Linked DNA regions of Oryzias latipes. The protein of the gene in region 2 interacts with the protein of the main gene of each other region in a pairwise test. Links are inferred from orthologs where the notes say so. Each region holds a gene or a part of one and is shown on either strand. Other genes may lie near its edges.

What was found.
Region 1: the proteins of suv39h1 (region 2) and cbx5 interact in binary tests that used the Homo sapiens proteins (3 or more experiments, as listed by UniProt). The link is inferred for Oryzias latipes from reciprocal best matches to the Homo sapiens genes SUV39H1 and CBX5.

The regions. Positions count from the first base shown.
Region 1 is NC_019865.2:12,828,869-12,845,573, forward strand, and holds cbx5 (chromobox protein homolog 5), read right to left. Parts: upstream 9,377-16,705; 5' UTR 8,815-9,376; intron 8,333-8,814; 5' UTR 8,279-8,332; coding exon 8,148-8,278; intron 7,926-8,147; coding exon 7,688-7,925; intron 5,913-7,687; coding exon 5,812-5,912; intron 5,073-5,811; coding exon 4,931-5,072; 3' UTR 3,163-4,930; downstream 1-3,162. Other genes in the region: heterogeneous nuclear ribonucleoprotein A1, read left to right, coding at 9,667-9,678, 10,171-10,287, 10,358-10,504, 10,572-10,782, 10,866-11,015, 11,102-11,155, 11,235-11,354, 11,439-11,558 and 1 more; nfe2 (transcription factor NF-E2 45 kDa subunit), read right to left, coding at 13,118-14,347, 15,262-15,399, 15,494-15,541. UniProt on the Homo sapiens protein: Component of heterochromatin that recognizes and binds histone H3 tails methylated at 'Lys-9' (H3K9me), leading to epigenetic repression. In contrast, it is excluded from chromatin when 'Tyr-41' of histone H3 is phosphorylated (H3Y41ph).
Region 2 is NC_019865.2:30,910,285-30,926,480, forward strand, and holds suv39h1 (histone-lysine N-methyltransferase SUV39H1), read right to left. Parts: upstream 12,312-16,196; 5' UTR 12,229-12,311; coding exon 12,210-12,228; intron 12,167-12,209; exon of another isoform or gene 12,109-12,166; intron 9,183-12,108; coding exon 9,037-9,182; intron 7,730-9,036; coding exon 7,067-7,729; intron 5,228-7,066; coding exon 5,081-5,227; intron 4,846-5,080; coding exon 4,716-4,845; intron 2,466-4,715; coding exon 2,332-2,465; 3' UTR 1,051-2,331; downstream 1-1,050. Other genes in the region: protein-serine O-palmitoleoyltransferase porcupine, read left to right, coding at 15,161-15,296. UniProt on the Homo sapiens protein: Histone methyltransferase that specifically trimethylates 'Lys-9' of histone H3 using monomethylated H3 'Lys-9' as substrate. Also weakly methylates histone H1 (in vitro).

The DNA.
Region 1 (16,705 bases), about 18 Mb from region 2:
ACAAGGGAGGCCCATGTGGTAACATCCATTTTCTGTAAATTGCTTTTAAGTGAGCAACTTAGGCTTGTCTAATGCAAATTCTCTCGTGGCAAAGAGCTGTAGAGTGGTGCTCAAACAGCGTGCATCGAAAGTCTCAATCACAAAGCGTCATTTAACAGCAGGGGACAACAAACTAATCTTGCAGGAGATCTTATACTACCAATTTAAAATCAATAAAGACACATTACGTTTTTTAGAACCAATACTAGAGCTTTGCTGTAAATAAGGGCTCGGTTTTGAAGCACACACAGTTGTCGCCTGCCTGCCTCTGTGGGGGATCATTTCAAAACCACTGATGGATTTGGAGCCAATTCCATTGCTACATTTCACCAAACATTTTGACACTAATATACACAATTTTTTCAAATTATTTTGTTGTTGGGCTGCAAGCAGTTGGGTATAATTATGCCAATGGGTAATTTTTAGTCATGTATTGATGAAGCGACATAAAAGATCATTAGCTGCATGGTTTTAAATAGTTCAAAGGAAGTTAAGTGGCATCTTTTTAAGAAAAAAGGTCATTTGTAATCCTGTTATCCTCTCCTGCTAAATGAAACGCTGTGTTGTGGTATTCTATGATTTTCTGTCTCTGATCATTGCAGACTCAGTTAATGCCTTCGGTTGTATTTTTTTAAACTCTCCCTCGCTCTGCAAATTAATTTATGGTCTAATTACAAGACAAGCCTCCACATATGAAAGAACACAAATCATTGGTCCTCACTAAATGGCAGAAACATGGTGCAGGATAATTGAAAATGTAGAGGTGGATCAATATTTAGATGCCCAAGGTTACGTGAAGTGTGACACCAAAATTAACATGGAAATATGATGCATTACATCTGTGGGCAAATTGGTTTATGTGAGGGTGAATGAGTAGGGACTTTGAAAACGAGCAGCTCTGATTTCTGGCCACACCCACGCAGTCCAAATGTTGCAGACGTGTACTGCTGCAGTTGCACGTGCTCTCTCTCATGCACTATGTTTCACTGTTAGTGGAGTGTTGTGTCGGTCCTGAAGTCTCTTTTTATGACACGGTGTACCAGGAAAACTCAAATCCCGACTGTGTCCCGGTGCATCAGTGGCCCAACCCCTCACCTTTCTAGCATTTACATCTGGCCTGTTAAAAAATGAAATCAGCTTGTGGAGGGCAAGCATTTGCATTTGCATTTTATTGGAAGAACAGAGATTTAGAGCAGAGGATATATCAGCTCTGAGCAGACAGAATTAGTTAACAATGCATTACCTGCCTTTTATGGCAGCTATAACTCTTCCCCCCCTGGTGGGGAGAGGAGATGAAGGAAGGAGTGTGGAGGTGGTGGGGGGTATCGAAGGGGAAACACAGCCAGCAGAAGGTTGGTGGTGGGAGCTGCAGCACATAAGTAGGGGGGGGGGGGGGTATTGGAACCCAGAAGGTTTGTCTGTGGAGCTTTACTGCTCATTTAGTGTGATAGCTGCACAAATTAGAGCTTCACGCTGCAATCACCTTCACACAGATCAGTGCTCTGTGCTGGGAGATGACAGGCCGAACGTCACTGCAGACATTTTTATCCGATTGCAACAAGAAAAAAGAGAGATGCAGCTGTCGGGCAGCTGTGCTCACATGATCACAGCAAAGAATGCAACACCAGATTCCACCTCACTGTGATACTCAAGACTTCCAAAAAGACTCTGAACAAAATTAACGGGTGTAAGAGTTTGCATAACCCGTTGCACATATTTGTTGTTTTTGTGGTATCCTTGAACAAGCTATATTTTTTAGTAGACCCTCTGCGGCAGTCCCTTTCTCACCCAAGCTGCACAGTGGCTCCCCCAACGCTCATTAGGTGTAATGTGCAGCATAAAGACCCACCTCTGCTGTGCGTAATACCCCAAGGAACTAATTTGTACAAGAAGGTACAGGTAAAGGGGAATTTTCTTTTCTGACTTTTGATTGTTGCAAATAACTAAATACATTTACAGCAACACATAATCACCACTGAGACAACTATTTCCAACACAAGTGTCTAAGAAAATAACCAGTGAAACCGCAATGCAATGAATCGACTCTGTTCTGAAAAGCCAACACCTCCCAGGTAAACGTGCCACCAACTGCTCCCAGTTGATTCTTCCCAGGTACAGCACATTCCTCTCTATCTGCACAAACCACATTTTCTTCAGAGCTTTAACCCCAGTGATGCTTCGCTCTGTATTCCCACAGATAACATACCAGGAATGAGTCTACATCTGTGCTTGCCACACATGGCTTTGGCTGAGCTCCAATGAGCACCGCAGTGGTTTCCCATCCAAACCCACTGGCCTGCGTTTGTCAGTGGAGAGCTCCAGGCTGGATACAACAGCTCGCTGCTCCCCTCCTTTCACCCAGCTTAATGGTCCCAGGGGCTGGATATTTACTACTGACCTTTGCATTCCATTTGCAGAGTAAAAGCTCTTTTGTGAGGAAAATTCCATCATTTTCAACGTAACCCAGCAGCACTTTGCAGATGTGTGTGTGTATGTGTGTCAAGCAGAGGGTCTAAAAGGCACCACCAAAGCGAAAAAAATCAAAGACAAAAAAAGACTCAAAACATATTATTTTAAGAGCATTTTTATTATTATTTTAAACATGACTGGAATTCACTTTACGGGGAAGTTAGTCATTAAGGATTGCCATTTTCTAATTTTAAAAATCTAAAGTGGATTTTGTACTATTTCTATAATGTGCATTAAATCAATGGCAAAACCTTAGCTGTCCAATTTGACATGTTTCCTCACTGATTCCTTTGCCGCCTTAGAAGAAAGGCTGCCTTTCAGTGTTAAGTTGTACATGTTTTACAGGGTGTGCGCCGTGTTTGCATGCAACATGTGAATGTCAGAACACAAAATGTGCCCATAAAAAGTTTCACAGAAAAATTGTACACATTTTGCACACAATGATTCTACTGGAACCTGAAGAAAAAAAAAAACACTTTTGCGTTGGAATTGGTTAATACTGCCCTCTGCTGACAAACGGCAGTAAATAGGTTTTTGATGTGTGATTCTAAAATTGCATTAAATCTATAAAGTATATATATATATTTTTGTCAGTTTGCAGGGTAATGTTATGAAAAATGTAATTTATACTGTAAAACGAAGTGAACACATGAAGACCTTGAAACACTCAAAATGTTTATTAAAGGATGCTACTATACATGTATACTTGGAACATTTCTCTCACACAATAAACTACTGACTTTAAAAAATGTATATTGTCAAAAGGTAAATAAAACCCATATTTACATTAAAAAATGTGCTGGCAAGGAAATGTATGGGTAGTATCAAAAGGAAGATGACAGCATTTCTTATCAGTTAAAAACAAGCAGTCTGTGAATCTGCAGACATTTGGTCCAATGCTTCTCTGCAGGCTGCAAAACCAGTTTCAATCTTCAACAACAAACCATGTATTTATCAGGGTTAGTCACCTTAAAATTCAAACTAATGAACAGGTGATAAGGAGCTATTCAAACAATATTTTTTGTAATTCATTAAAACTACTGAAGCTTTTTAGCAGGGGGAGCATGGAAAAAGAAATGCAAATAAATAAATCTAGTCTTTATTGTTGACCACAGTATTAATTTCAGTTATCAAAGTGGCAGCTAAGTTTCTCCTTTGAATGCTAGCTGAATTTTATTTTGAAAGGGCGCAAGATCACACAATTCATGCAAATTAAAAGTAAAAAAAAAAAAAATCATTCAAACAATGATTGGGATATGATTAAAAGTACAGAATGGAGAAAAAAATGTCTTTATTGTATTTTTTCTTCTTCTGGCAACACTGTCAAAAAAAACAGAAAGAAAAAAACCGCAAAACAATCATTTGACGAAACAGCACAAATTAAAACCAATATACATCACTACACAGACGTGCACCTACATGACTAAACAGGTGCACCAGTCTTCTCAACTGCAGGCCAATCCAGCTGCCATGTCATTAATTCAGCTTTCACAATTATCATAGTTTTTACATTTAAATTTCATGAAGGTGATCATGTCCCTTTTGAAGCATGTTATGGTGATGGATGTCAAAACATGAAACAGATGAATGCTTCAGGAAGATGAATGATCAATGGAATCCTGAACATCAGATCAACATCTACTCATTGGGACAAATATTTAGGATTTTTTTCTTACCTTAATCTGAAACAAAAATATTAAACTACAACAAAGAGAATTGATGGCAGAGTAGACGTCATGATCAAATGATCGCACATGTTTGAGCGTTTGGTGAGAGTGGCCCTGTTAAAAATTACCGGTTACAAATATTAAAAAAAAAAAAAAAAATAGAAACAGTGGGGAAAACGATTATTAAACACGTTTAAAAATGAATCAGGTGTGATATCTGCTGCCTAAAGGGGTAAAAAAAGAAAGATAAGTGAATAGCTTCAACATTTTCCTGTCAAAGAAAAGATGTGCACTGTTTACAACACAATGATGGGGATCGGGAATTCCCCCCTAAACCGTCAAATCTGGTACTTGGGTCTGGATTTGCAACTTTAACAGATGGCCACCAGTAATAGTTTCTCCAGATTTCTTCCTAGTAACATTTTTATGCAAGCACTTTAAAAAACAGGGAAAAGATAAAGACAAAAATGTTAAGATATTACAAAAAAAAAAAAAATCAATACAAAAACAGTAGAAACATTGCCCAGTAGCATATCACCCAGGTCCACTAACAAACAGCTTTCTATTTGATGGATCCTTTACAGAGTCTGGGCCCTTGTGCTCAATGAGGCATGAGTGGAGAAAACAACAAAAGGGATGCACTGTTTTTGTTTCACTGTTGGACAAAGTGAGGGATGGAAGTTTGGGAGAAGGAAAACAAAAAGTCCAACAGAATGTTTTCCCTGCAGTGGAGGTTTCCTCCAGAGGTGTTGCACTCAAGCACTGACAGCATCCTTCTCCTTCTTGTCACCGTCTTCGTGCCAGGTGAGGCGCTCCTCGTAGAAGGCTATGACGATTTGTGGACACTTATGATTGGCCTCCTTGGCAAGAACAAGATCCGCCTCGTCTGAATCTTTCCTAAAAGAGGGTAAAGCTTGAAATATTTTTGCACCACACTTCACTAACTTAAGTCCAAATAAGGCATTGTGGGATTTCATAAACAAGCTGTAGGCGGTTGCACTCTATCCTAGTCTCTGTGAAATGGCATTTCACTGTTATATTTCTAAGAGGTTCATTTACACTGCAATTTAACCATGTATTGAGACAGCATCAAGTGTTCTATCATAAAACCAAATAAAATGGGTAAGTTGGCAAGACAAACTTTTCATCTGGTGCAACAAAGGTATAGTCAGACTTCATCACAGGTGTTTTTATTTGTTCTTTCGCTCTAGGATTAAAACTGATCACAGAGAATTTTCTATAAATCATAGCAAATGAGAACAATTCTAAATTCATGATTATTTTTATGGATTTGTAAATTTATTCAAAGTAAAAGTATCAAGTCTGCAACTCAAATATGAGTCCAGAACCAGGCATGAGTGATGGTGCACTGCGTATATCCATCTAGGTAATAAGAGATAACATTAATTTTATGGTTTGGCTTCCTGTTCATCTATGGACAGACAGCCCGGTTACTGAAGTTTCTAATGGGTGATTTGCCCAGTTAACCGACACAGTCAAAAGCCTTTTTTTTTTAAGAGTCATTCCCTTCCATGTTGCAGTCAACAGTAAAACAGTCTGTGGTGATTGCACCTAGCGGAGCAGCAATTTCACACCAGATCATCATAATCATCATCATCCCAACAACAAAACTTACCATTTCATGAGGAACATTAAGTCTCCGCATGAATCAGTGGCTCCAATGATTTTCTCTGGCTCAAGTCCTCTTTCAAAGCCACGGGCTACTAGAATTTCCTCCTGTAAGAAACAAAGAAAAAAAGTTCAAACCTGAGGAAATGTTTAAAACTGTTTGTTTTTGTCTTTTGATTCTGTGCTTTAACCTCATATTTACACTTTACTGCTCTACTGGACAAATGCCGTCAGATATTTTATTGAAATTCCTTCTGTGTATAAACAGATTAATACTTTGCTTGTTTTTGCGGTAATCATTTTCAATATGTCTTATTGGTTTATGTATTATAAACAATTTTTTAATCCATGTCTAATTGATTTTAGTTTCTTTTAGCCCCCCAAATATTACTTTTATTGGATTGTATGTAGAATTGTGCTGAAAAGGCTGATTATTTGTACAAGGTGCAAAATGACAGAAGTAAAGCACTGAACACATACAGACAGATTGAGCATGTTGACATGCACATCAACTAGTTGATCGCCTGACTTATTGACCTTTTGTAATTTTCAGGACGCCACAAAAACAGGATGCGAGATCAAGACATGTGGATTTCTCAATGGTGAAGTGTACTGGCACATATCAACAATTGTATCTTCTAAAAATAAATAATTATATGTCTAAAACGTGTGTTTCAAACTTAAAGGCCACGGGCCGCATGCAGCCCGGCATGCAATTATATTCGGTTAGCATGATCGTTTTATATTATTGGTAATTACGGCATGGCGATATGAAGCGCTGGTAAAATTCAACTACAGATCCCACAATGCAGCGCTTCAGCTGCCTTGCCGAACACTTCCCACGTCAATGAAGTCTAGTTTATGATGCTGCAAGTGATAGTGAAGCTGGCCCTCTGTCGGTGCAAAAGTGAAAAGTTAATCCTGGAAATGGGCTTTTCAAACTGATGGGAGGCAGAATATGTTTACTGACATTGTTGATAAATTTATGCGTCTCATTTGTGGAGCTAATGTGGCTGTATTCAAGGAATTTAATCTTTAGACAGCACTATGAGGCAAAACATCAAATCCGTACTTTGCTGATAAACTGAGCGCATCAAGTTCGACCGGCCCTTTGGTGATTATGAATAACAAAAATGAATTTTTGAGTTGCTTCACAAACCATTTGCCGTCTATGTTGAAACTGCCCCTGTACAGATTCAGATGGAGCAGAGTGAGCTGCAGAGTGAAAGCACACTGAAGGCAAAGTACGACACTGCAGGACCTGCACAGGTTATGAACGCCATTCCTGCAGAAAAGCAGTTTCACCCTTGTGCGTGTTTGGTAGCACCTTTCTGTGTGAGAAGCTCTTCTCAGTGATGAAGACTAATAAAACAGCACGCAGATGATGTCTCACAGATGAGCAAAATGTAAGTTTTTTATAAAGTCATTCAATAGTAAAGAAAACTGAATGTTTTTTTTTCTTTTAACATTTACTGTTAAAAGAAATATATTTGTCATATTTATGTTGAAAAGAAGTTTTAAAAGTTTATAAAGTACAGTGTTATTGTCAGCGACCTAAAGTGGGTTTTGGATTTTTGCCCATCCTGTGCCATCAAGTTTGACATCCCTGGTCTAAAAGAAACTAGGGAAACGAAAGATAAAGAATTGACATGTACTGTTGTAAATATCTCTCCCTTGCTTATTAACATTTCGTTATTTAAATGTAGATCTGGAAAAAATAAAATAGATAAATTCTAAGAACCTTGCATAAAGTACAGTAACATCCTAACAAACAAACTAAACTTTATTATAAAGGGGAAAAACAACAAAAACTCATTTTTCCTCATTTATCTTGACAGCCTAGAAAACAGTGAATCCAAACATTGCATATACATAAATCTCACCTCTTTCTTCTTTTTAGGTTTACTTCCACCCTCTTCGTCTTCCTCCTCCTCATCATCTGAACCTTTTTTCTTTAAGCTCCCGGATTCTTTGGAGCGACCCGATGATCCTGTGTTGACTTTGCTGGAACCAGTGCTAGGTGTGGCACTCCCACTGCCTGGTTTTTTGTAGGTTTTCATGAATTCTGCAATAAGCTCAGGGCAATCCAAGTTCTTCTCCGGCTCCCAGGTGTTGTGCTTCCTGTAAAGGAAAACCATCCAAGTAACTCAAGACAGTTGCATAATCACAATAGTAACAAACAAAGAGAAAACACACCCAAAATAAAAACATTAAAACCGCGGTGCACACAGCTACATAACCCTTAACATTACATTGCACGTCTTTATGCGGTTTAAGTAATATTGTATTATTGCAATTACAATAGAATTGCTAACAGATTGGCGTTTTTTGTTTTTTACTTACTCTGAGTATCCTTTCCACTTTAGGAAGAATTCAACTCTGCCTTTCACGACTCTCCTGTCCAGCACCTTTTCCACGACATATTCTTCTTCGTCAGACGATGAGGATTTCTCTTCGCGAGACTTCTTGCCCATTGCAAAGTTTGGTATTTATAGCACGCTGTCACACACACAGGCCGTTAGCACTTCCTTGATCCAAAAGAAGAGAAGCCAAAGTTTAAATAACAACCGATCATCTTGGCACAGTATTTCCAGATGCGTTAATACGCACAGATCAGACGTAAATAGATAATTAAAAAAAGGATATACTTTGAATCAGAAAAGAAGATATGATAATATACGCGTTAGCATTTGATCGACGCTAACACAGAAATTGTCGTGCATAACACACTCGAGCATAACAGCAACTAAATTATTATACGAATAAAAATCACATCTGCAAGTATTTCACATAACACTTGTTCTTTTAACGAAGATAGCCCTAAGATTACAACAGGTAAGAAAACAAAACAAGCATGGGGCACGACGAACTGAGCTCTGCTAACGGTACTAGAAGCTAGACAAGATAGCATGTAAGCGAACCCCAAGCTAACTTGCCACTTTTACAGTTCAAATCACGAATCGTTATTTAAAGTAAAAACACAATATCGATAAATTAACAGTGCGATTACTTTAGGATGATCGGGCCGTCAGTTTTAGTGCGTTTTTTGCAGCGTTATCTTGCGTCTTTTGTGCAGCAGCTATCAGTCTACCAGTCTACCGGAGCTACGTTAGCATGTAGCTTAAATCACATAAAGGTGCTGAGCGGAAAAAGCGCGCGTTAAAAGCACACAATGAATGAACCCGCCTCCCGGTCAGCTGATAACCAAGAAACCAGGCAGGTTAGCAGCAAGGGTCTCAATCCATGGTATTTACTTACTGTAATAGTAATGTGTAAAATTATATGTTTTGTTATTAGACGTTTAATGTACGCTGACAAAGAAACATAATGCCTTACATATAAACAAAGCTCCAAACTATTAATTAAATAGCTAAAAATGTAATAACAAAAGTGTGTGTTGTGTCCTTTAAAATTTGTGTAATTCTTTCTTTATACTTTTTATTTTGTTTAGATAAAAAAAGTAGCTGTACGACCATTCAAAACTAATCTAGTTTAATGTTATGATGGTGATCCAAATTGATGCGGTTTATTGGCCCCAATCTATCATTTCATTTTTATTCAGATAAAATGTCACTATGTCTGCGAAAGCATCCTGTTTTCTCCCATTCCTCCTCCGTTTTTACACACTGCATTATCCTGCTCGGGGATTGGATTAATTGAATGATTGATAGGACGTAAGCCAATCAAAACTCACCTTTCTCTGAGGAAATACTACAGCGGGAACAACTGACCAATGACTGTGTAAAAAGGGGGCGTTCCTTTCCCCATTTTATCCTAGCGTTTGACTGCTGCCTGATCTTGTCTGGCGCAGATCGCTGCGTGGTTGTTGTGTCACTAGGAGTTTCCGACAAAATACAGCAAGATGTCGAAAGATGTAAGTCTTTGTATTCTGAACGATTCAAATTATTTAGCTGGTCCAGTTTCGTCAAATGGCTTCAATGGTTTAGATTTGGGCACGTTGTCTCGGTCGAAACAGCCCGTCTTCGCTGCAGAAGCTTTCTTTTCCTTATGCCGCCATTTTGTAACAACTGGGCCTCGTGGCCTATTGTTGGTTACAGGTAAACGAAATGAATCGAATGATATTAATATGAGTCACTGGTTATCGTTATTTCGATTAACCGCAATATTAACAACCTTAGGCGAACATATTTTTGCAAAAAGTCGAACAATCTGCAATCGTTGATCGCTAATGGCGGCGATGTCTGCACCACCCAACCCTCCTGCTGTTGTTGTTTTTGACGCTGGATATGTTCTGGAAATAGAGACGAAAGTCAATGAGTGGACTTTCGTTTTCAAAAATGTGTTTTTAACTCATAGTGTTTGAACTTGCGGCAACCTCTTGTTGACGTCTTCATCTATTGTTTAGGTCCCACGTGAGCCAGAGCAGCTTCGCAAGCTCTTCATTGGAGGCCTGAGCTTTGAGACAACAGACGAGAGCCTCAGAGCTCACTTTGAGCAATGGGGTACCCTGACAGACTGTGTTGTGAGTCATTTTCACAAGATGTGATTGCTATCATCCAAATTGAATTGGCTTTAAAGTATTTCATTTTTAGGTGATGAGGGATCCAAACAGCAAGAGATCCCGGGGTTTTGGCTTTGTGACCTACTCCTCTGTCCAAGAAGTTGATGCAGCCATGTCCGCCCGTCCACACAAGGTTGACGGACGGGTGGTGGAACCCAAACGAGCAGTTTCTAGAGAGGTATATTATATGACTAGACGTAAATCTGATTTCTTGTTCAAAGTATAACAAATGTTTTGGTGTGCAGGATTCAAATCGTCCAGGCGCTCATATTACAGTGAAAAAGATCTTTGTTGGAGGGATCAAAGAAGACACAGAAGAGTCCCACCTGAGGGATTACTTCCAACAGTTTGGCAAAATTGAAGTCATTGATATCATGACTGATCGGAACACTGGAAAGAAGAGGGGCTTTGCCTTTGTCACCTTCGACGATCACGATTCTGTTGACAGGATTGTCAGTGAGTACTAGTGGTATCTGATCTAGAATGGGAAAGCCCTGTAAGATTTTCATAAAAATTGAAACATGCCTTTTTATTCATAGTCCAGAAATACCACACAATCAATTCCCACAACTGTGAGGTGAGGAAAGCCCTGACCAAACAGGAAATGCAGACTGCTGGAATGGGAATGAGAGGTGGCCGCAGCAGTGGGAGTGGAAGACCCTATGACTACGACAGAGGCTTTAACCAAGGTAATGTGGGTTGTAGTATTTTTTTTTTAAATCATTGGGTCTGTAAGACAGCCATAACAAGTTTTGGGTTTTCTTCTTATTTTAAGGTGGACGGGGCAGATATGGAGATGGTCCTTACAACGGCAACGGAGGCGATGGCGGTAAGTGCAGCATACTAGATAAATTGTTTTTTTATTTTTAATTTACGAACATCTGAAGACTTAAGGTTGTTTGATGCAGGTTATGGAGGTGGGCCCGGTGGTCCTGGGGGCTATAACAGTGGCAACCGTGGGTACAACCAGGGCTACAACCAAGGTGGTGGAGGATATGGTGGAAATGGTTATGATAGCAATGGTTATGGTGAGCAACAACAACCCCGTCCCTCCACCCCCCCCTTTTTTAGGATGAGGTTGTCACTAATCATTTTTATCTACCATTTTCAAGGAAACTGTGGCAGTGGCAATAACTACAACAACATGGGTCACTATGACCCGCAGGCTTCCAACTTTGGTCCAATGAAGAACAACTTTGGTGGTGGTGGTGGAGGAGGAGGCAGAAACTTCGGTGGGTATTTGGATTTGGTGAAAACACACCAACACAGAAGTATTTTAACCCTCACCTTGTGTGTTGATTGTTTTTCTGTCTTCCAGGTGGATATGGCGGTGGATCAAACAATGGCGGTGGCTATGGCCGTCCTGGACGATTTTAAGTTTCTAAGGGGTAAGCTTCTGTAGACATAAACTTGCTGTTACATGTCGTAAAACCAGAGTTTATCATTTTAGGGAATGATTAAGTGTAGCTAACTTTAAACGAATTCACTCTGGATGTCAGGACTTATGAAGACAGTGCACAGTTAACAATGTTGTTCCATATTGTTCAACAGGACTGAGTACTTAGGAGAGGAGAGCAAGGAGAGGAGAGCAAGCGAAGTGACAGGGCAGCTGCAGGTTTACCTCCTAAATCTGCTCAGCCAAACAGTTGTGGCAGGTTACAGCTGCTACAAGAAGAGATGTACAGTAGATAAATCATGGAGGGCCTTCATTTAAAATTTGTCTTCTGTTTTTCTTTCATCATATGTGTTTTTTTTGGAAAGCAAGCATTCCAATGAGGGTTTTATGTTTATCTTTAAGTCTGGTTTTTATTTGTAACTGCATCAACTCAATCTGAAATAAACCACCTTTCAGTTTTTTATAAAGTCTCGTTAGCCTCTTTAGTGGTCTGGGTGAAGGGAGGGTTGACACTTAAACGGGGAAAAGGGCCACTTTTTGTCAAGCTCTGGAAAAGGCAATTTCCCAGTGGTGCGCAAATGTTATCTTCAAAAAGGCCGTGACTTGGCTCAGACAACTTCGAATTCTGCAAAGATCATCTCGAGGAGGCTAGCTTACATGCAAAGTCTATGAGGCTAGCCATGGAAGCAAGCTAAGGGAGAGAAGTAGCAAAGCCATCGCCAGGATCATTGAAGCAGGGGAGAGTGAGAGCAGAAGCCTGAGGCTAGCAGGCAGCAGCTACCAAAAGGCTTAAATGCTGTCTGTAGGTAAGACCAGACTTTCAACTACTGATGGTGTTTTCTCTTTTTGCCTTTTAAGCTGGTAGTGAGTTTTGTAGCCCAGTAATGACATGGCTAAAAAAAATACCACTTGATCAAAAATTGATCTCTTGCAGTGCAAAGAGGTCCACTGTAATTTGCATGCAGTCAATACAGGTTACCTTTGAGCAATGCCTTATACTTTTATTTTGTTTTGCATTTCAGGTGATTTCCAGCGGTATCCAGCACTACAAAAACATCATTTCTGTGAGAATGGCCCAGGTACAAGAAAGTGAATCTGCTGGTTGGTTTGTGGCAATATTTATTGAACAAAGATTATTTTCTTCCACAGGTTAGCTGAACTGTCGTGCTAACGCTGAAGTATTCTTTTTAAATTTTTTTTTACAGTGCTTAAAACTGCTGTGCAGTTTGATTTTTACTTTTTTATTCTTTTTTTAAATAAAATATTTTATCAACACTTTGTGTGTTTTTTATTATAAACATTGGTCTTGTGTGTCACCGTAAACTTAGTTTAACCACAAACTGAGATTGGCACGAAAAGTAAAAACACTTCCAAAGCACAGACGAGTCCTTATATTCAGCACTGATCTCTTGCTTCCATCGTATGAGGTACCAAATAAATTTTCCCATCGGGTGTTTGCTGGAGAGAATACTCATCTATTGAGTAAGGTTGTCCATCTTCGTCTCGCAAGTGAGAAAACACTTCTGCATAAAGGTCTCTCAGACGGCACTTGACAAAGCCCAGGCTGCGCTGGAACTCTAGCCTTTCCTGTGTGAGGTGTTCTCTTTGCACCTGCAGCTGGTTCAGTTCTCTTTCCAGATGAATGATGCTCTCCAGCTTCCTCTTCCTGCAGTTCTGAGCTGCCACCTTGTTCTTTCCCCTCCGTCTGATGTCTCTGACCAGTGCAAGTTGAGTGTCGGTCAGAGTATACTGAGTCAGCAGCTCGTTGAAATCATCCACTTGTAGATTGATAATTTTATCCAAAGGGAAGGGAATTTTCAAAGCCATGGCCCTCCGCTCATCCCTGCTAAGTGGAGCAGAACTGGAAAGGCCCGTGTGTGGCTTTGAGTACTTATGCTGAGAGCTCCCCCTGCTGGTTAATTCATTATACCGTTCACATGAAGCAACTGTGTTGTGCTGCTGTCTCGCTGAATGAGTTGTGGCACATGGCTGGGAGTGAGAGGAATTTTGAGAAGAAAAATACGGATTTACACCTGAGTCAAAATATGAGTGATTTGGACCTTGGTAGTCCATTGAATAACTGATATGTGCTCTCCTGGTATGATCATTAATGTTGCCTGAGTTAACATCACTGTAAGGCACATTTATTTCTACATTATGGTAACCTTGTGCAGCACCCACTGGATTTAGTGGAGATGTCAAAGGTGGACTTGATCCCAAAGAAAGACCAGCCTCTGACTCCAGACCATCAGCCATGCGGCCATGCATGTTTTGGCCATGTGCTGTCCAAAGCATGTGTCGACTTGAACCCGGAGAAAGACGGGCATTAGTTCTCCTGTGTCCATGACTTGTCCCCAACATGTTTCCAGGAGACGGCAGAGTTTGAGCGGGCATGGAGATCATTCGCTGACTAGTCTGAGAGTTTTCATATGTTGCCCTGCCGCCCAGAGGATGGCAGTGAGACACTTCTTCAGAGTAACATCCAGCATACGTCCTGGCAGTGCTCAGCTCACAAGTTGCAGGAGGGGGTTCAGAGTGAGACTGAGCCATGCCATATTCTCCTGTGGGGTCAGTAGTCTGGTACTGAGTTGCTTCATAGGAGGCATCAGTTGGTACTTCGAACTCCTGCAACAAACACATCCAGGTAAGAATAATGGAGAAAAACCACAGTGCGGACAATTAAAATAGCTATTGATTTTATTGATATATGTTAAAAGCAGAAGATATTATATTCTCTCCCCACACGTCATTTGGTTTATCACTAAGCAGAATTTGCCCTTCTTTTAGTCTGCCACCCACAGCTTACAGAGGTTTTCCAAAGACGTGATCTGGTTTCACTTTTTAACAGATGGCTATTGTGCAGCGCAGGGGGCCAGAAGCAACTTCCAGTATGTCCCTTCTCACATTTTCTTCATCCTGCCATCACTCAAATACACTATTGTGACTTGCTTTACTCTAGTGTAGCTTAGAAGAAGCCATTAAAATAGACAGAGTACAACAACGTAAAAACAAGGCAGTTTTTATTTGCTACCATAAATATTTGAGTGTCAATTTCTCTTTCAACCAACGCGTCTTTTCATTTTTTGCCTCAGCTCTGCGGTTTGTGCTCATTGACACATGTTTTGCCTCATATTAACAAGGGAACATCTAGTTTTGTGCTAAATCAGCAGTTTGTAACCATCTCTGAAGTGGAATACAACTTAATCACTAAAAAGATTCCATAAGCAATTCACTGTTCAAAGTTCTCTGTCTTGTTTTATTATCCCTTCAGAAGTTTTTTATGTCATCAATTTTATCGTAAACACACAAAAAAGGATTGAAACAAAAAGTACAGCCTTGCCTTTACAGCTCTAAATATGTGAACAGAATTATGCATCTTTTCAATAGGATTTAACTTGTGACTTTTTGTTGTTGCATGTGATCTGAACAACATAGAAATCCTTTTAAAATCTTATGCAGTCTAATGTTTTATGATGAAAAATTAAATAGTTTTACATTTTATCAAAACAGAGGTCTCCCAGTCTATCTATCATTGTTACCTGCAGCTCTGTTATTGCCATCAACTCCTGCCAAGCAACATCCATTTCGGCGTCCTGCGGCTGTCCATTGGGCCTATCTCCAGGGAAATTAGCTGAAATGGACAACCCCCCACATAGCCTGCCAGAAGTAGCCACTACCTGTGTGAATGTAAAAATAGAAAACAACTGTTATTATATTTTTTGACTGGATTCTGTTGAGCATCTTTTTTTTCCGTTTTCAAAGCAGACTCACGTCACAGTTTCTCCTCAGAGGGAGAATATAATTGACCGTTGAACACATTCAGAGAAGTCTGCAGCAAACAATCAACCTGGAGAAACAGAACAACTTGTAACTATAACTCACTATTCTGCATAAAGTACACAAATCTAACAAACAATTTCAATGTCTGTCAGTCTGTAACTCACAGCTTTTCTCCACATATACAAATCTCTTTCATAGCTCTTGATTTTCCGGTGCTACATTAGTGACTTTTTGGGTGTTTGGGAGTTCTTTTGGAACTCATAAAAGGATCAGTTCAGTTAAGATGACTCCTCCCATCAGCTGTTCCAGGCTGCAGTTATGCCAAGCCCTGATAAGACAATCTGGGGGAAAACAGAGTCCTCTGAAAGAACAGAGTGGGGACTTATGACCGCTTTGGGAAATTTTGGTTCATTAGTTGTCCGTAAGTTTTAGGTTCTTTGGAAAAAGTCAGACACAAAACGTTAAATTGTGCACTTCTTGTTGAAATTTTATTTTATTTTTGAGTCTCAAAACCCATTTATCGGCAAATAATGTAATTATGTGTGAGTGTGCACTCACACTAGTATACTGACTATTATGCATGCCGTCTGCTGCCTATTTATAACCTTGGCAATATAAAAGATGTTTGTTTCAAAACTAAATTAAAGTGCCATGCAAGGCTGCAGTTGTGCATCAGAACACGCATACACCTGCTTCACTGACCCTGAATACATTTTTTTTAATATTTGTAGACAATTAAATATTTTTTCAAAAAACCTCAAATTTTGTATGCTCTAGAATTGCTTAAGGCAATTTTTAAAACTTTCTGTTAAACATATGTTTAAAAAAGAATTGTTTAATCAGCACAATTTGCAATAAAATTGTGTTGAAATTAATTGTTAAAACTATTAAAAAAGATTTTTTGTACAGGCAAAACGAAGTACATACTTTTACAAAATACTTGAAATGTACTTTGAAGAGTACGCCTTTTAAACTGGGTGAGTATGTTGTTATAAGTTATATTTATTTCATATCAAATGTATTCAAAACCATGCTTTTTTATGTATTTATTCATGTGTTATTAGGGTTTAATTCTAGCTTAACATTTCTGAAACTCTGTGTGTTTTTTGTGCTGGAACTTATTAAAAGCATCATCAGTCACCAGTCTTCCGAAGAAGTATGCAATGTCAACACAAAAGTACTAATAGAGAAGAACGTACCTGA
Region 2 (16,196 bases):
ACACTTCCTCATCCAAACAGCTCCTCTCTCTGGATCCTGTCCTGGACTTTCTCTACATCTACAAAGACCTGATGCAGATCCTTCTGACCTTCTCTGTTCTTCTCCAGAAACACCCTCAAAGCAAATATTTCATCTGCGGCTCTCCGTCTCTGCACGAAACCGAACTTTTGCTCAAAAGATTTTCACCTTTTGACGTCAGTCTAGCTTCCTCTACTCTTTCCCATAATTCCTTGTGTCTCTTGTGTTTTATTCCTCTGTTGTTTCCAAAACCCTCAAAGAGCTTCTGCTCCTACACACATTGGAAGAACACAAAAGTCTTTACTATGGATGTACCAGACTGAGAGAGTAATGAGGAATTTATTGTTTATTTCTTCAAACCTTAAAAAAAAGGACATACTTAAAAATTATGAGTTTCTGTTCTGGGCACTTACTAACTCTGATGTTCAACTAAACATTTCAGACATCTATATGAACTCTGTAGGAAAAAAAGGATTATTTTCCCTTTAATGAAGCAGATAAATGCTATCCATGTAGACGTTTTCCTTGTGATTGAACAGCACAGGCGTCAGCTGGTTGTCTTCTCACTGCAGGAACAGGACGGTGCAGAAGCTGCTTTTCTGCTTCTGTGTGGCCTCCTTCAGTTTTTATGAAGCAAATGGTGCAGAGGTGTAGCGGTCAGCACTGCCACCTCACATAGAAAAGGTGCTGGTTCAATCCCTAGCTGGGTTTTTTTCTCCCTGTGGAGTGTTCATGTTCTCCTCGTGCATGTGGGGGTGTTCTCCAGGAACTCCAGTCCAGAAACATGCTTCATAGAATCTAAACTGCCCCTTGATGTGCCCGTAGGTGTGGGTGTGTGTGTGTGTGTGTGTGTGTGTGTGTGTGTGTGTGTGTGAGTGTGTGTGCATGAGTATATAGAAACTACAAAAACAGCAACGGGTTTTATGGCGTCTATGTTCCATTGGCAGAAAGAGTGCCAAAAGTCTAACATGGTGGAGCGGACTACGCTCACAGAACTCAGTACAGATAAAAGGGGAGGCAGTAAACAACAAATAACAGAATAGCTCATTATTGAGTATCCAAACGGAGCAAACTAAAGCAATGAACACAAAAACTTTTGGTTTGGTTCACTTTCATCATTTACACACATGAAGAACTGTTTTTTGAGGAATGAACCGCAATAACGACAAAATCCAAATGACCACTTCGGCCTTTTGAACACATTCTCGCCAGTGCACTGTAGAACCTCATCGACTACGACACTTAAACTAACATTCTAAAAGCAAGACGAGTTCATGAGGTAATACTCAGAGAAGTCAACAGCCCTGTTTAGTTTGTTTTCAACCATCAACATTACAAAATAAAACACTTCAAAACTATAAACAGCTTGTAATTTAGTTGTTCTTGTTCCAAAAATATCAGATCTTCTAAAGGGAACTAACCTGAAGCCAAATGAATCTAAGTGAAAAGGTAGCTCCCGTCCACACTGTTTTCACAGGTTTGCGTCCGTCTGTCCTTATAAGAGCACAACGGTCAACTCAATGACAGGAGACAGACAGCAGGGAAAAGCTGAAGAAAAAGAAAGTGAAACTGAGACACCCTGCATTAGATGGATTGGGTCTCCATAGGGATCTAGACAGGGCGTTCTCCAGTTTGAAGTGCTGTTTGAATCTAAATTCCTGACAGGAAGACTGCTTTGTTTGTCAAGGCATCAGAAGAACAGGCTCCTTTCAGTCTGGCTTCTGTTGCTTTCAGACTCAGGTTTTATTCAAATGTGACTTTACCATCAAATCCCCAAATCCCCCAGTTGAAACAGAAACATGGACTAAAGAACAGCCAGGAGGCTGCAGAACAGCAGTTAGAAAGAATCGTTTTGCCACTTGATCATCCAGACTCCAGAGGCCTCATGCGGACCACAGACAGCTGCTTTGGTAATCGGCTGACAAAGAGTTAGGATTCAAAGTTGAAATATTTGGCCTTCAGGACCCATGAGGACACACCCCGGGACATCAGGCGTGACATTCACACAATGATGGAGAGAGAAAAACTGACATGACCTCGATCAACAGCAAGAATTCATAGAGAAGTTGAGGTTTGATTCCGGCGAATGTTCCATCTGGCAGGTTCTCTGGGTGTCGTCACACAGTGTAAATGTCAGAATGAGTGAAGTGAGGCTCTGACTCAGCACCTCTGAGTCATGGAAAATGCTGATTCTTTTTCTTCTTGCTTATAAAAAAACATGTTTAAAATCTTGACACTTTCTCACGGTCGCATATAAAAATTCATGAAAGGAATCTGTACAGTTTCCAGCATATCAACACAGAATTCCTGCAGTCAGAAGAGGTACTTCCGACAGAGTTCGGAGCCACACCGACACTCAACCCGGACCCTCTTCTTTGGCGAGCCGGGGAGCCCAGCCAGGCTGAAACTGGAGTCCATTTTGGTGCTCTCTGTGTCCACTGGATCAACTGGAAGTATCAGAAAAGGACAGCCCCAGTCAAACACAGCATCTGCATCTCTTTAGTTTCACAGCCAATGGCTGTCATTTCTTGATGGACTTGAGAGCTTTGTTGTAAAAGTGCATACACACAAATGACTAAAAGGTGCAGAAGAAGGATGGTAAATGACGTCTACTAATATAGCGCTTTTCTACCTTCTTCAAGGCCCAAAGTGCTTTACAGTCACAGTCCCATTCCCCCATTTACACACATTCACACACTGGTGGGGGCTCCACTGCCCAACACTGGCACCAATCTTTCACCACAGGCAAGGTGGGGTTCAGTGTCTTGCCCATGGACACTTTGACTCATGAGCGTACAAAGCGGGAATCGAACCTGCAATCTTATGATCATGGGTCGACCGCCCTACCGCTGTCCCGTGGAGTCTCTCAGCCTTCTATTAAACTCTGCATGGAGCACAGCGAGGTTTTTTATGATTAAAAAGTATCGATATGTACTTCAAAACAAAAACTACACACTTTTTTACAAAGGTTTATCTTGTTCATGTTTTAGATTTTGGCCCCCTGGGCGATGGAGTTTGACACCCCTGCTGTAGAGTGAGAGAACACTGAAACACATGTTGTGTTAGACATGTCAGTCCCTGCTGATCATATCCCTGTGTGCTGCATGGACTGAATGATAGAGAACTGTAGTTTTTGGACCAAAAGGAAACAGCAGAAAATATTTTTGGGAAAAACTCCCCCCCTCAGGAGGAATACCAGTTCTCTTAAAGGTTTCGTTAAGAAAGTCTCTTGGATAAAAGGCGGAGCGTGGTCAATTTAAAAAACTGCAGATGACCATCCTCAATAAATGCAAAAAGGAAAACATACTTCTCGGCAAGTTCATGTGGTTTGTATAGTTTGACATGATAAAATCCTAGTCTGGACGAGGTTAGCTTCATCAATCTGTTCATCCATCCATCTTTTCATCCATCCATCCATCTGTTCATCCATCCATCCATCCATCCATCCATCTGGTCCTCCATCCATCCATCCATCATCCATCCATCTGTTCATCCGTCCATCCATCTGTTCATCCATCCGTCCATCTGTTCATCCATCCATCCGTCCATCCATCAATCTGGTCCTCCATCCATCCTTCCATCATCCATCCATCTGTTCATCCATCCATCCGTCCATCCATCTGTTCATCCATCCGTCCATCTGTTCATCCATCCATCCATCCATCCATCCATCCATCTGTTCAACCATCCATCATCCATCCATCAATCTGGTCCTCCATCCATCCATCATCCATCCATCTGTTCATCCGTCCATCCGTCCATCCATCTGTTCATCCATCCGTCCATCTGTTCATCCATCCATCCGTCCATCCATCAATCTGGTCCTCCATCCATCCATCCATCCGTCCATCCATCTGTTCATCCGTCCATCCGTCCATCCATCTGTTCATCCGTCCATCCATCTGTTCATCCATCCATCCGTCCATCCATCTGTTCATCCATCCGTCCATCTGTTCATCCATCAATCTGTTCATCCATCCATCCGTCCATCCATCTGTTCATCCATCCATCCTTCCATCATCCATCCATCTGTTCATCCGTCCATCCGTCCATCCATCAATCTGGTCCTCCATCCATCCATCCATCTGTTCATCCATCCATCCGTCCATCCATCAATCTGGTCCTCCACCTATCCTTCCATCATCCATCCATCCATCCATCTGTTCATCCATCCATCCATAAGGCTTGCAGGCTTTGCCGAAGCCCATTGCAGTGAACTCTGGGTAAAGTGGGTTACACTCTTTAAAGATTGATGTTTTGAGGCTGACTAAGCTTGTGTCTGAATTCCCGCCCTAACCCCTATAACTAACTACTTTACTTTTTTTTTTCTCTAAACGGCATATATGACGTCATCGACAATTATTTATGAATCCACTGTCTTCTGAAGATAAAAACTTTGATGGTTTGTTAAAAAAATACATTTAAATACATTTTTGAGGCAAAAATCTTTCCAACGCAATGCATTGTGGTCTATATTCGCCGATCTAGTGAGCATTGATGCACACTGGTTTTTTGCAGAGACTTCTGGGAAATTTCTAGGGCACTGGATCTGGGAATTATAGATTAATGTAGCACTAAAAAATGGCAAACGCACTTTATAGTGCACTATATTTAAAGGGGTTAGGGAGGGAATTCGAACATAGCATAAGGCATAATAAAGGAGCATTAACAGTGCAGAGCAGTCATCATGAACTCACTTTGCATCTTGTAGTCGAAGGTAAGCTCCTCCCCTGCCCGGATAGATCGCGTTGAGAACAGAGCGATTCTGGGGAGCCTCTCATCAATGTTGTCAATGAACACATTGAAGACCTGCAGGTTAGGGTTACACTGAAAAGACAACATTTATCAAATCAGAGCTGATCGCTGTTCCTACTGACAGTCCAACATCCAACAAGTAAAGAAGAATGTATATACTTGATAAACACTAGGTAAAACTTTTCAGTTGCTTCTAGATCCACCTTCATTTTCTGCCCCACAATCGATTACTACCGATTACTACTTTAGCTACTCTGAAGGTTGTGTCTTGATAACCTGTGGGGATCAGGTGACTGCAGACACTCACACTGTGGTTGACAAAGTGGGAGATATTTCCTTGGTGAGCAGCATCCACTGTGTACACATCTTCTACATAGTCGAGGTCAAACAGGTAGGTGGAGCCCTGGCGGTCGTATAAATGGCCCCTCTTCTCTGCTTCATCTGTTGTAATTATCTGTAGGGGGCAAATAGAACACTCGAAATCAAATCCATTCACAAATCGTTTATTCTGACTCTCACAGTTGAAGTTTCTCCATAATGAACATTCCAGAGCAAAGTTGTTTCCAGTATTTTGGTTTTAGGAAAACGAAAACTGAAGCTATGTTTTCAGATTACTGTATACATAAATCTACCCACAAATCATTGCGCAGCTGATCAGAACAGTTGTCACTTTGTGCTAACAGCAAACAGCAGAAAAGAAGCCCACAGGACCCTCCAGCCCCCCTGTCATGTTCTACATCCTGAGAGGGAGTTGCTCCCTTCACGACGCAGACTTGACGACTGCGCAGACTTGACGACTGCGCAGACTTGACTGCACAGTATACGATACTTTCTGCTATTGATAGTTTACTGTGCAGCGGTTTGCTCGTCTTTGTTTTTCAAGGATTTATGGTATTATTTTTTAATGTTTCTATCCAATGTTCGGTTTTCATAAGCTACCAGTTCAGACGAGGAATACAAAGACGTTCATGGATCTATTTGTCTGACAGTGGATGATCAGAATGGACTGGAGCTGGGAGACTTTGGCTCATCCATTGTAGCTTCTAGGTTGGAACTGAGAGCTTTTTCTAACGGCGTTTTTTCCTCTGCTCCTCATCCATCACGATTTGAATAAAGAAATAATCAGAAATGCAGTTTTGTTCTGAACTTTTTTTCTATATGTCCTCCCTCATCAGAAAAATGCTACAAGAACATGCTAACAACAGGGTTTTCATTGAAGTGGGTCTTTGCAAAAGTGTAAATAAAATGTCATTAATAAAGTCTATTTGTTGCATCCAAGCTCCTTCTCAGTTCTGTACAGGCTCACAGCAACAGAGGAAATGTGAAACAGCTGTCGTGCTAGTGTATCTTTCCTTTTTTATTCAAAGTATTTTCATTCACAGGTAAATGCGGCTAACCATGTGATGAAATTGCATATTTTTTATCTTTACAGCTGAGTCTTATTTCCTCTAGGTTGTGCTGACTTCAGGTTTTACCTCCATTTTTGTCTATGAGCAGTTTCTGAGCACATGAGATCAAGTTAGAAGTTAGTCCAGTTTTTTCAAAGCTTCCAGAAAGCTGAATCATTCATTCTGCAGAAAAAACATTTAACGGCCTTTGTCATCTTTGTCAGAGCCTAGGGGGACACAGACAAGCCCAGAGACTTTCAAAATAAAGGTACAAATTAACCGCCGGTCAACATTAAATATCCCAGATATCAAAGTTTGTTTTTCCTTTTCAGGATGGTTAAAGTAAGGAGTGAACTTCATGTAAATATAAGCTGATTACATTTAAATTCAACACTTGATTCAAAAGAATCTGGGCTGAAAGTGCTGTTTTTATATTTTAAAAGTATTTTTTATCAAAATTGCTGAATTATGCAACCGGCTGCCGTGGTGCAGTGGTGCAGTGGTGGGGCGGTCAACCCCAATCAGAAGATTGCAGGTTCGACTCCAAGTGTCCTTGATCAAGACACTGAACCCCACCTTCCCTTTGGTGGAAGGCTGGCGCCAGTGCTCGGCAGCAGAGCCGCCATCCGTGTGTGAATGTGTGTGTGACTGGGTGAACGGGACTGTGACTGTAAAGAACTTTGGGCCCTCGAGGACGGTAGAAAAGCGCAATATAAGTCTACACCATTTAGCATAAACTGCAATAAAAAACGGTTGATTGTAAAACCGATTACTATTTGAATTCAGAATTAAACTAACTGGTAAATGATCAAATCCAGATCCAATAGGACCGTGTTTCTGAAGGTTTTAAGCCTTTTTTTTTGTTTTGAAGGCAGAAACAAAAATGAGTAAAAAACATGTCTCACCTCTCCAACATACTCCATAACAAAGGTGTTCTTCTTGATGCCCTGCAGCGTGCGCACGCCCCATCCCCGGCCGTCCTCGGTCTTAAAGATGCACAGGTCAAACTGAATGCCCTTCTGGACCACTCTGTTGGGACAGTCAGGTCCGCAGCTGCACCGGGAGTTACATTCATAAATGGGCTTTCCTGGCCTGATCCGGACCTGGCCGCGATCGTTGTAGGCCATGCGGTGCAGGGAGGCTCCTGGACAACAGCCGTTCACTGGATCTTCCAGGCAGTTTTTACAGTCACAACCTACAGCCATCTCATTCAACACAATGCCAGGGCCGACTTTGTAGTTGTTAATGTAGGTGAAGTTCTTTGGAGGGCCCTCTAGGTCCACATCATTTGTGACAAAAATGCGACCGGGGTGGTTGCGAGTGTCATTCAGATGGTCCTGCCAGCGCTGGAGACTCTGACGGAGTTTGGCTTTCTGAATGAGGAACAAGGCGACCTCTTTATCTAACTTTTTGGGTATGGCACGCCTCTTTTGACTCTTGAGCACCAGGTCCAGGTCCAGGTGGAACTGCTTTATCAGCTTTGAGCATTTGAGGTTCCTCTTGGGTTCCCAGGTGTTGTCAGACTCAGGGAAGCCCTTCCACTTCACCAAGTAGAACTCCTCTTCCTCCTAAAAGACAGCAGCTTTGACTCACAGCATTTCTAAATTCTGATGCTTATTATATAAGAGTAAAATTCTATAGTTTTTCCCTGTTGAACTACATTTTAAAGCCGTTTATTTTACAATCGAGCAAATTGTCATGTTTTCCATTTCTGTTTTTAACCATTCAACAACAGAGGTGTTGCCGCCAGAGCCTAAATAACACACACACACCTTGAACTACCATAACCCTTTGACCATCGACGCAATCAGCATGAATCTGCCGATATTGACATGGAGAAAAGCGGCTTCTCCCCAGTGTGGTCCGTAACATCGCAAAGATGCTCTTCTACATCTCAGGAATAAACGGTTGAATAGTTCCGGTAGTTGAAAGAATGTTTAAAAAAGTACAAAAGGATAAGTAACCAGTAGTTTCTTGTTAAAAGTACCCTTAGGGTAAGCACTGATGAATATAATTTAAAGCCTAACCCAAAGTTTTCTGCAGAAATTACACTGAGCCTACAACAGGGTGGTAATTATTTTTCGAATATGCAGGTTAAGGGTTAGCAGTAATGTTACAATCCATGAATAGGCCCATCTTCTGGTCCCACTGAATCCCTTTCATAGCCACAGGGCTGCTGGAGCCTATCCCAGCTACAGTTAAGTGAAGGTGGGATAAACCGATTGGCTGTATATGAGAACTGGACTGAGTGAGCCAAAGAGGTCACTGTTTTTGAGTGTTCAGCTTTTGAGTGTTCCAAACAGGAAATACCTGCTGCCTTCAAAAGCCAAAATCCCATAGACTTATATAGAGAAATAAACAGCCGTTACTCAATCATTCTATTGGTCATAAAAACCATTCCTAATCTTATACCCTTTTTTTTGTCTTTTTGATAATTCCTTTTTTCCACATTTTTATGCAAGTTATGAACTGATCAATCAGATGCCACATTAAACGCATATGGCTTTTTTTTGATTGACAGATTCCCCAGAGCCGCTTTCAGTGGAAGGGGTGTGGTCTGGATTGGTGACAGTAGTTGCCATAGAAACGTTGACTCAGACCGAATCCGACCCATCACTGTTGTCTGGCTCCAACATGGCGGGTCTGTATCACGGAAAAATGGGGACTGAATTGGTTTCATTTTCCTGGAGCCAGAGGTAAGGCATCTCCTATGAGTGACGTCACAGCCGCTCGGTCCAGTTCTCGTATACAGTCGATGGGTAAACCCTAAACAGGTCGCCAGACTATAGCAGCGGGATCAGAAGACAGACCCATTTTTCTTCAGTTATTTCATGACCCAAACAAATTCTTCAACCTTAAAGTGGTAATGACATACCTTAGTCTTCTTGTAGTTGCAGAGAAACTCCACCTCATACTCGTTGACATTCGCTCTGCTCACTCCGAGCTCTTTGCAGTGCAGGGTCTCAGTGCGACACAAGGCTTCCAGCTCGCCATACGTCATCTTACAAGGCACGCTGCATCCTGACACACAGTCACATCAAACCACATGTTTTCAGTATGAAAAAATCCACTCCTAAAAGAAAGTTCTCTTCGTTAGCTGCGGTCAAACCATTTCTGACCGCAGAAATGAACAAAAACAAAAACCTTTCTTCTTCTAAAAGCAGTGTAAAAATGCTGGACAGCGTTCCTTAACATGTGATGTCAAACAGCATATTAACTATCTGACATGATGCACAGAACACGCCAGTATAAAGTCTCTACAACTGTTTACAATAAAAGAACAGATTTTGTTCAGTAATATTATCTATGAACCTTTTAAGAAAACGGGTCATCGGATTTTCTAGTTACATTACATGTTTGGGTCCTTTAGAGATTGCCTTTTAAAAATCTCATAACCCATGGATATAATTACTAAATATGGCTAAAAATGACCATATTGTTTTCTTAAACTAAAATCACTTTACCGCTGCATATATATCTCCCTTAGTATCATCAAACAGGATCTAAAAGCTTAAAACTCAGCCATTTTATTGACATTTTACTCCTATAGTGTTGTCTACCTTCCAGCACCTATTAAACATTTTTCAATAAACAGAAAACCGCAACAAAATATGAAAACATTTCCAAAACAGAGATCCCACAACTGAGTGACATTTCCTGTCTGTGGCAAGTTCTGAAAACATCAGCAGTACTGCAAAGATGATGAGCATCACTGTGGGTCTGTGACAGATGAGGACACACAAATGCAAACTTCTGTCTGCGCGATTGAAGTTGATAAGAAGCGCAGGCATTCAAAAAATGAAGAGGTACCACTTTCGCCATCAGGTCCAATAAACCAAGAGGAAGACAATAAAGAAATCCACGTGGAATCTCGTTGTTTTCCTGAACCACATGTCAGAAGATCTGTGTAAAAGTGTGTCATCAAAGACTTGAGCTGAAAGATGCATAATCTACAGCCACCATGCCTGCTTTGTGCTCAACTGTTTTGCACTGGGCCATTCTTGGTAAATCCAGAGTCATTTGTGAATCTTGCCATAGCCTTACAGTTGATCACAGAATACTGTATTCAGGAAGGACTGGACTTCTGAAGGTGCTTAGATTTTCATGCAATAACATGACATGTCCCAAGTAGGGATGCAACGATTTACTTTACCCACAAATCAGTTCAAAATGTGATTTTTAGATACCGGTTTTGTTCCAGTTTGATTTGTAGATTACAAAACAACAACAAAAATTTTTAATTGCTAACATGCAAGTAAGTATCAAGAAAAAGCCTTTCAGGTGGCTTATACTAAGCCTGGTGTAATCTAATAAAACCTTCTTAAATTTCACACGTGTTTCACATTTTTACTGTAAACAGGCAGTAGGGCTGCAAGCTGTCACTTCCTGCTCCCTTCAGTTTAATGGTGTAACACCAGGTTCAGTTTTTGATCAAGAATTGTGGCATCTCTAAGTCTGTGAAGCTTCACAGACATAAAACCTTACAGTTTCCATTCAGTCCTGCTGTTTCTAATGAGAGTAGACTCCATTATGTGGAAATATTCCCTGATAACTTCAGCCTTTAGTGACTAAGCTGTCGTCCTTCCTCCTTTTCTCTTTCACCTTGACTTTAGCAGCTATGAAGTGCTGTCAGTTGTCTGGATGGCCTACAGTAATGACACTATCTCTGCAGGAAATCAAACAGTCTGCTGAACATGTTTATGACTAATTCAGCTTCTGTATTCTGGAAACACATCTGAAACCCTTTTAGTGTAATATTAAGACTTACTTTTAAAAACAAGTCCTGAATACTGAATTACCTTTATTCCAACAGTAAATACAGTAAGCATGATCTTCTTCTTTCTCTTTCGGCTTTTCCCATCAGGGGTCGCCACAGCGAATCATCGTCCTCCACCTCACTCTATCATGGACGTCTTCTACCCTAACATTAGCCAACTTCATGTCCTCTGTTAAGACATCCAGATATCTCCTCTTTGGCCGTCCTCTTGCCCTCCTGCCAGGCAGCTCCATCTCCAACATCCTTCTACCAATATATCCACTATCCCTCCTCTGAACATGTCCAAACCATCTCAGTCTGGCTTCTCTGACTTTGTCCCTAACACAGGCAACGTGAGCCGTCCCTCTGATGTACTCGTTCCTTATCCTGTCTAACCTGGTCACTCCTAAGGAGAACCTCAACATCTTCATCTCCGCTACCTCCATCTCAGCCTCTTGTCTCTGTCTCACTGCTACCGTCTCTAACCCATAGAGCAAAGCTGGTCTCACCACTGTCTTGTACGCCTTTCCTTTGAGTCTTGCTGGCACTCTTCTGTCACACAACACTCCTGACACTTTCCTCCAACCGCTCCAACCTGCCTGCACTCGCCTGCTTACCATCATGCTTACCTAAATACAGTAAGCATGATCATGTTGTTTAATTAGGCAGACATGTATGACTCGTGATTTTCATGAAATAGTAGAGAATAATGACACAAGCTGCTCTCATTTTCATCTCATCACTTTGTCTTCCTGTTCAATGACTGATCAGATCTGCATTTAAGGATGAAGCCTCCAACTTGATACCGTCAGAACAGTCAAACCTAAACCAGAATCCCCGTGTTTGTTCAGTTTTCCAGGCAGAACGGTGGAGCTGGGATCGTCACAGAACAGCGGAAGCAAAAGGAAATCTAGCAGCAGCACAAACTATTTATCAAGCCTGGATGGATGGATGGATCATCATGCAGCCACCAGTGGCGCCCATCACGAATCTCGAACCACACAGCCCACCGCTGCACCCATCAACTGTCAATTCTGTGTGGCTGCTAAATTAACTTTAACTACATGTTAGATCGCACTTCTTATTACATGTTCTTCGTCACTGTTACCCATAAAGAGCTCGCGCACGGACAAGAGCTGGACAGAAGAACACCGTCATAACTACAAAAACACAAGTAACACATCCGGTAACCTGAGTATGGAAGAGCAGACTTTGGTGAAGTCGTTCGAATACACTACGACATCACTGAGACACGCGACAACAACAAAAACTAGAGTATTAACTTCTACTACCTGTCGAATTGTCCGCCATGTTTTTTGCAATACCGCCAAAATAGAAGCAAGTCTTCTGCGCAGGCGGGGTTTTTGGCCAGGCTGGCAGTATCGGCTGCTGATTGGACGAGCGTTTGCTGCCTTTCTCTCATTGGTTCTTCAGCCAGATGACAAGACGGGTGGTGATTGGCTCCTTCGAGACACAAATGCACTCCCTCCAATCCAATCAGCCGTCGATGGATCCCGCCGTAATATAAATGACGATCTTTGTGCCCTTTGTACATTAGGTACGCAGTCTTACTCCAGCAGAACTTTATTTGATCCTAAAGAACTCTACACTCATCGTGACACTGTGAAACAACTTCCACCCACTCATGAACAAGCAAATTAGCCAAAGACTCAACATGCACCTCAGATCACTGACAGCCAATAAACTATAAAAGCTCTTCACTGACCTAAACCTGAACTATAACTGCACTATTCCATCTTCTGCTTATCCAAAGAGGTCCTGAGGGCAGCTTGTAGAGACTCCCAGGACAGTGTGGGGGTGTACCGGGGTTACATTCTATTTCTTATCTTCTTTTTATTATGCATTTAATGGTTTCTATATATGCATGAATATTGTATTGCAGAAATATGTTTGATTCCTGTCCTCATAGCAGATAACATGTGCATGTTTTTGACTTTCTGACTCTGTTTTCTTTCTGTATTGGAATGTTTATGGAGCCACGACACCTAGAATGCAGACTAGACAAAAACACAGCAGTCTAATGACGTATTTTGTATGTTTTCATCTTCCCGTTACTGAATAATAGAAAAAGCCAGAGAGACAGAGAGAGCGGACAGCCACAGAACCTAACAGGTAGTGTTTCTGCACGTCTCCCCTTTTGAAGAAGGTTCAAAAATTCATGCAGACTCTTGTGTGTCTTTTCATTTCCCAACTGCACATTTCGTTTTTGGACTTCCTGAACCATCCGAACCTGCGAATGCCAAACGAGATGGCAACACTAGCCAAGAGGCATGGTCCTTCCAGCTGGACATCCCTGGAATACCCTCCCAGGCAGTTTTCCAGGAGGGATCTGAAAGAGATGAATGACCCTCCTGAACTCTGGATGTGGAGGAGCAGTGGCTGCTCCTGGATGGCCGAGCTACTTACCCTAAAAGAACCACAGCCACGCTGTGGAGGAAACTCCTCTCACCCGCTTGTGTCTTTGACCCCTTCATGCCTGCCTTCTTTCTAATTTCCGGAATATTAAAATGATTCTTCTGTGTGTTTTCCATTCAAGGTGATACTAAATTAAGTGGAGTCCTGGATTTAATGGTAAAGCCTATGTTGCGAACTAGTGACATAGGTTGATCTCTGCTCTATCGACTAAAGTTTAAATTATCATTATTGTTTTCCTATCTGGTTCCACTGAGCTGCTTGGGTCAGGAAGGTAAAATTTACATGACACTCATTTGGATTTCAACAGCAAATACAGTTGACCAATTTATTGACAAAACTTTTGTCTGCATGACATTTTAGTTTTGTGATGCTGTGACATAAAACAGACATGTCTTTCATTGAGTTTTGTTTCCTTCTTTTGGTTGTTTTTGAGGTTTTGAATTATTTTTTGTGCGATTATCAAGCTTTTTTTTCACGTTCTCTTCATGCTTTACCAGGTAACACCACGTTTCAGCTCTTAATTGCCACAATTGTTTGTGTTACTGATTTATTTCTCAGTGTATAAAATTCCATTACTGTAGCTGCTATATCTTTGATCCCTCTAAAGTCACTCTTCTGTTTAAACTGGTTTTGTTTTTCATTTGTAATTTGGTTTAAAGTCAGCTTAAAGTCCGATCATCTTTTGATCTATTGTCAAAGTGTTCCCAGTTGTCTTTTAATTATGATTATGATGTTTTAACCCAAATCAAAAAATCAGAGTTTTTTTCTAGGACATAGTTGGTGCAGAGTAGCAGGAGTTTATTAGAAATTCACCTCTGATTTGTGGGCGATACTTCCCCTCTCCATTGCTGAAAGCTCTCTGGTTATCTGCTCTCAGTCTGTACTGTCCTGTTCTGATCCAGATACCAGCTCAGACGAGGAAAACAAAGGATCTATTTGTCTATTTGCGGGTGAATGATCAGAATTGAGCAGAGCAGAGAGCTGCGGCCTGCTGATTGTAGTTCACGGAACAACTACAAGCTTTTTCCAACAGCTCTTTTTCACCTGATTCACACAATTTGAATAAAGAAAAACTCAGAAACGCAGTTTTGGTCTTGTTTTTCTTTATGCATGTCCCCCATCATGAGAAAAATGCCAGAAAAACATGTTAAAACACAATTTTCATTGGGGGTGGGTGTCTACCTGGGACAGAAATGCTTGTGTGTGGGGGGGTAGGACTGCAGCTGGGACACAAGGCGGCACTAAAGCGTCACGTGACTTTGCTGTTAGTGGAAAGAAATCCGAGGAACCGTGGAAAGGTTGTTTTCCCCGTTTAAAGTCTTGCTTTAGGTTAGAATTTCGAGCAAAGAATCCGCTTTTCTTTCTCTGTACGATTGACTCAGTCAGTTCTGTTTTTTTAAAGGTGGACTGGTTCTAAGGTTCTCCGAGGAATGTGGAACAACAATAACTAGTCTTCATCTGTGGGGGCAGCGTTGCCTGTCGATGATCCAGCAGAGAAGAAGAAGAAAGGATCGAGGGAAAAGAAAGCAGCGGCTCCTCTGTTGATTCTGCTCCTCCGGCTCAGGTTTGCACGTTTCTTCTCTCCTCTCAACTTCATTCATGAAAAACCAAACAAACTGCTGTCTGTTCACGTGAGATGCTGACGTCAGAGCGGGTTGCACGTGCGCCTGTGGTGGAACTAGCAGAAGTTGTTGATGCTCATAGGGCAGCTCAGAGGTTTTTAGGTGCTCTCTGCTGACAGACAGGACAGGTGAAGGTCTGCAGTCTGCAGCAGAGCTTCGTGATGGTTTGGTCTTTGTCTTTCAGGATGGACCTGTCCAGCAGGCTGCAGGTATGGCAGCAGCTGGCCCAGACCTGCGGCCTCAGCAGCATTGAACAAAGCCTTCAGCAGCTTTGGATGCTGCTGCTCCTCTGCCTCCTGTGCAGAGTCTGCTTCAGACTGGGTCAGCATCAGCAACTCACTTTGGATCAATAATCTACATCTGTGTCATTTTAACTGCTTTTAGGTAGCACATCTAAAAAGCTGAGGAGCATTCCTTCTTTCTTTGTTTGTAGATAAGAATTCTCCATATAATTTGATGTGTTTTAAAAAAAATTCAACAGATCAAAGTTCCTTTTAACTCATGAGTAGATAAAAAAAAGTATTAAAACCAGAAGGAGCTGCATTTCCCAGAAAAAATTCAGTGCTTAATGCTATATTGCTGAATGAAAATGAAACTTAAAGGGTAATAATTGGAAAAAATAAATAAATAAAAAGAAAGAAAGAAATGATCAAAGTTGACCATAAATAAAGTGAAAACAGCACAATAACAAAAAATATATTTTTGTGAAAAATGCGAGCGCCGGGTATCGAACCAGCGGCTTCTGCACCAAGGATTCCCCAGGTATATTAATGAAGGCAAAAATCTTGGAATAACTTGAGTTATTGGTCATAATTGGAAAAGCTGAACATTTGAATAGTTGAATGATTAAAATAGCTGAAAATTGTAGAATGAGTTAAGTGCCAAAAAATAAATGGAGCACATTTCAGTTAACTGATATGATGGGTAATTATAGTTGGTATGCTGTGAACGGCCCTGGAGCAAATGGAAAAGCTTTGAAATATATAAAGGGAAACCTTTGGGTTGCCAGGTCTGGAGGAGTATCACGGGAAAAAGCAGCATTCAAAGGAGAAGACAGTTGTCTTTCATTTAGTTTAAGATATGATGTATAATTACAAAGGTGGCTTTAAAACCTGCAAATGCCATTTTTAACAGGCTGCATCATTCCATGAAAATCCACAAAATACCGACTGCTGATTGGCTGTTTCTGATCATTGAAAGCAGAAATTACCTCCGTTAATT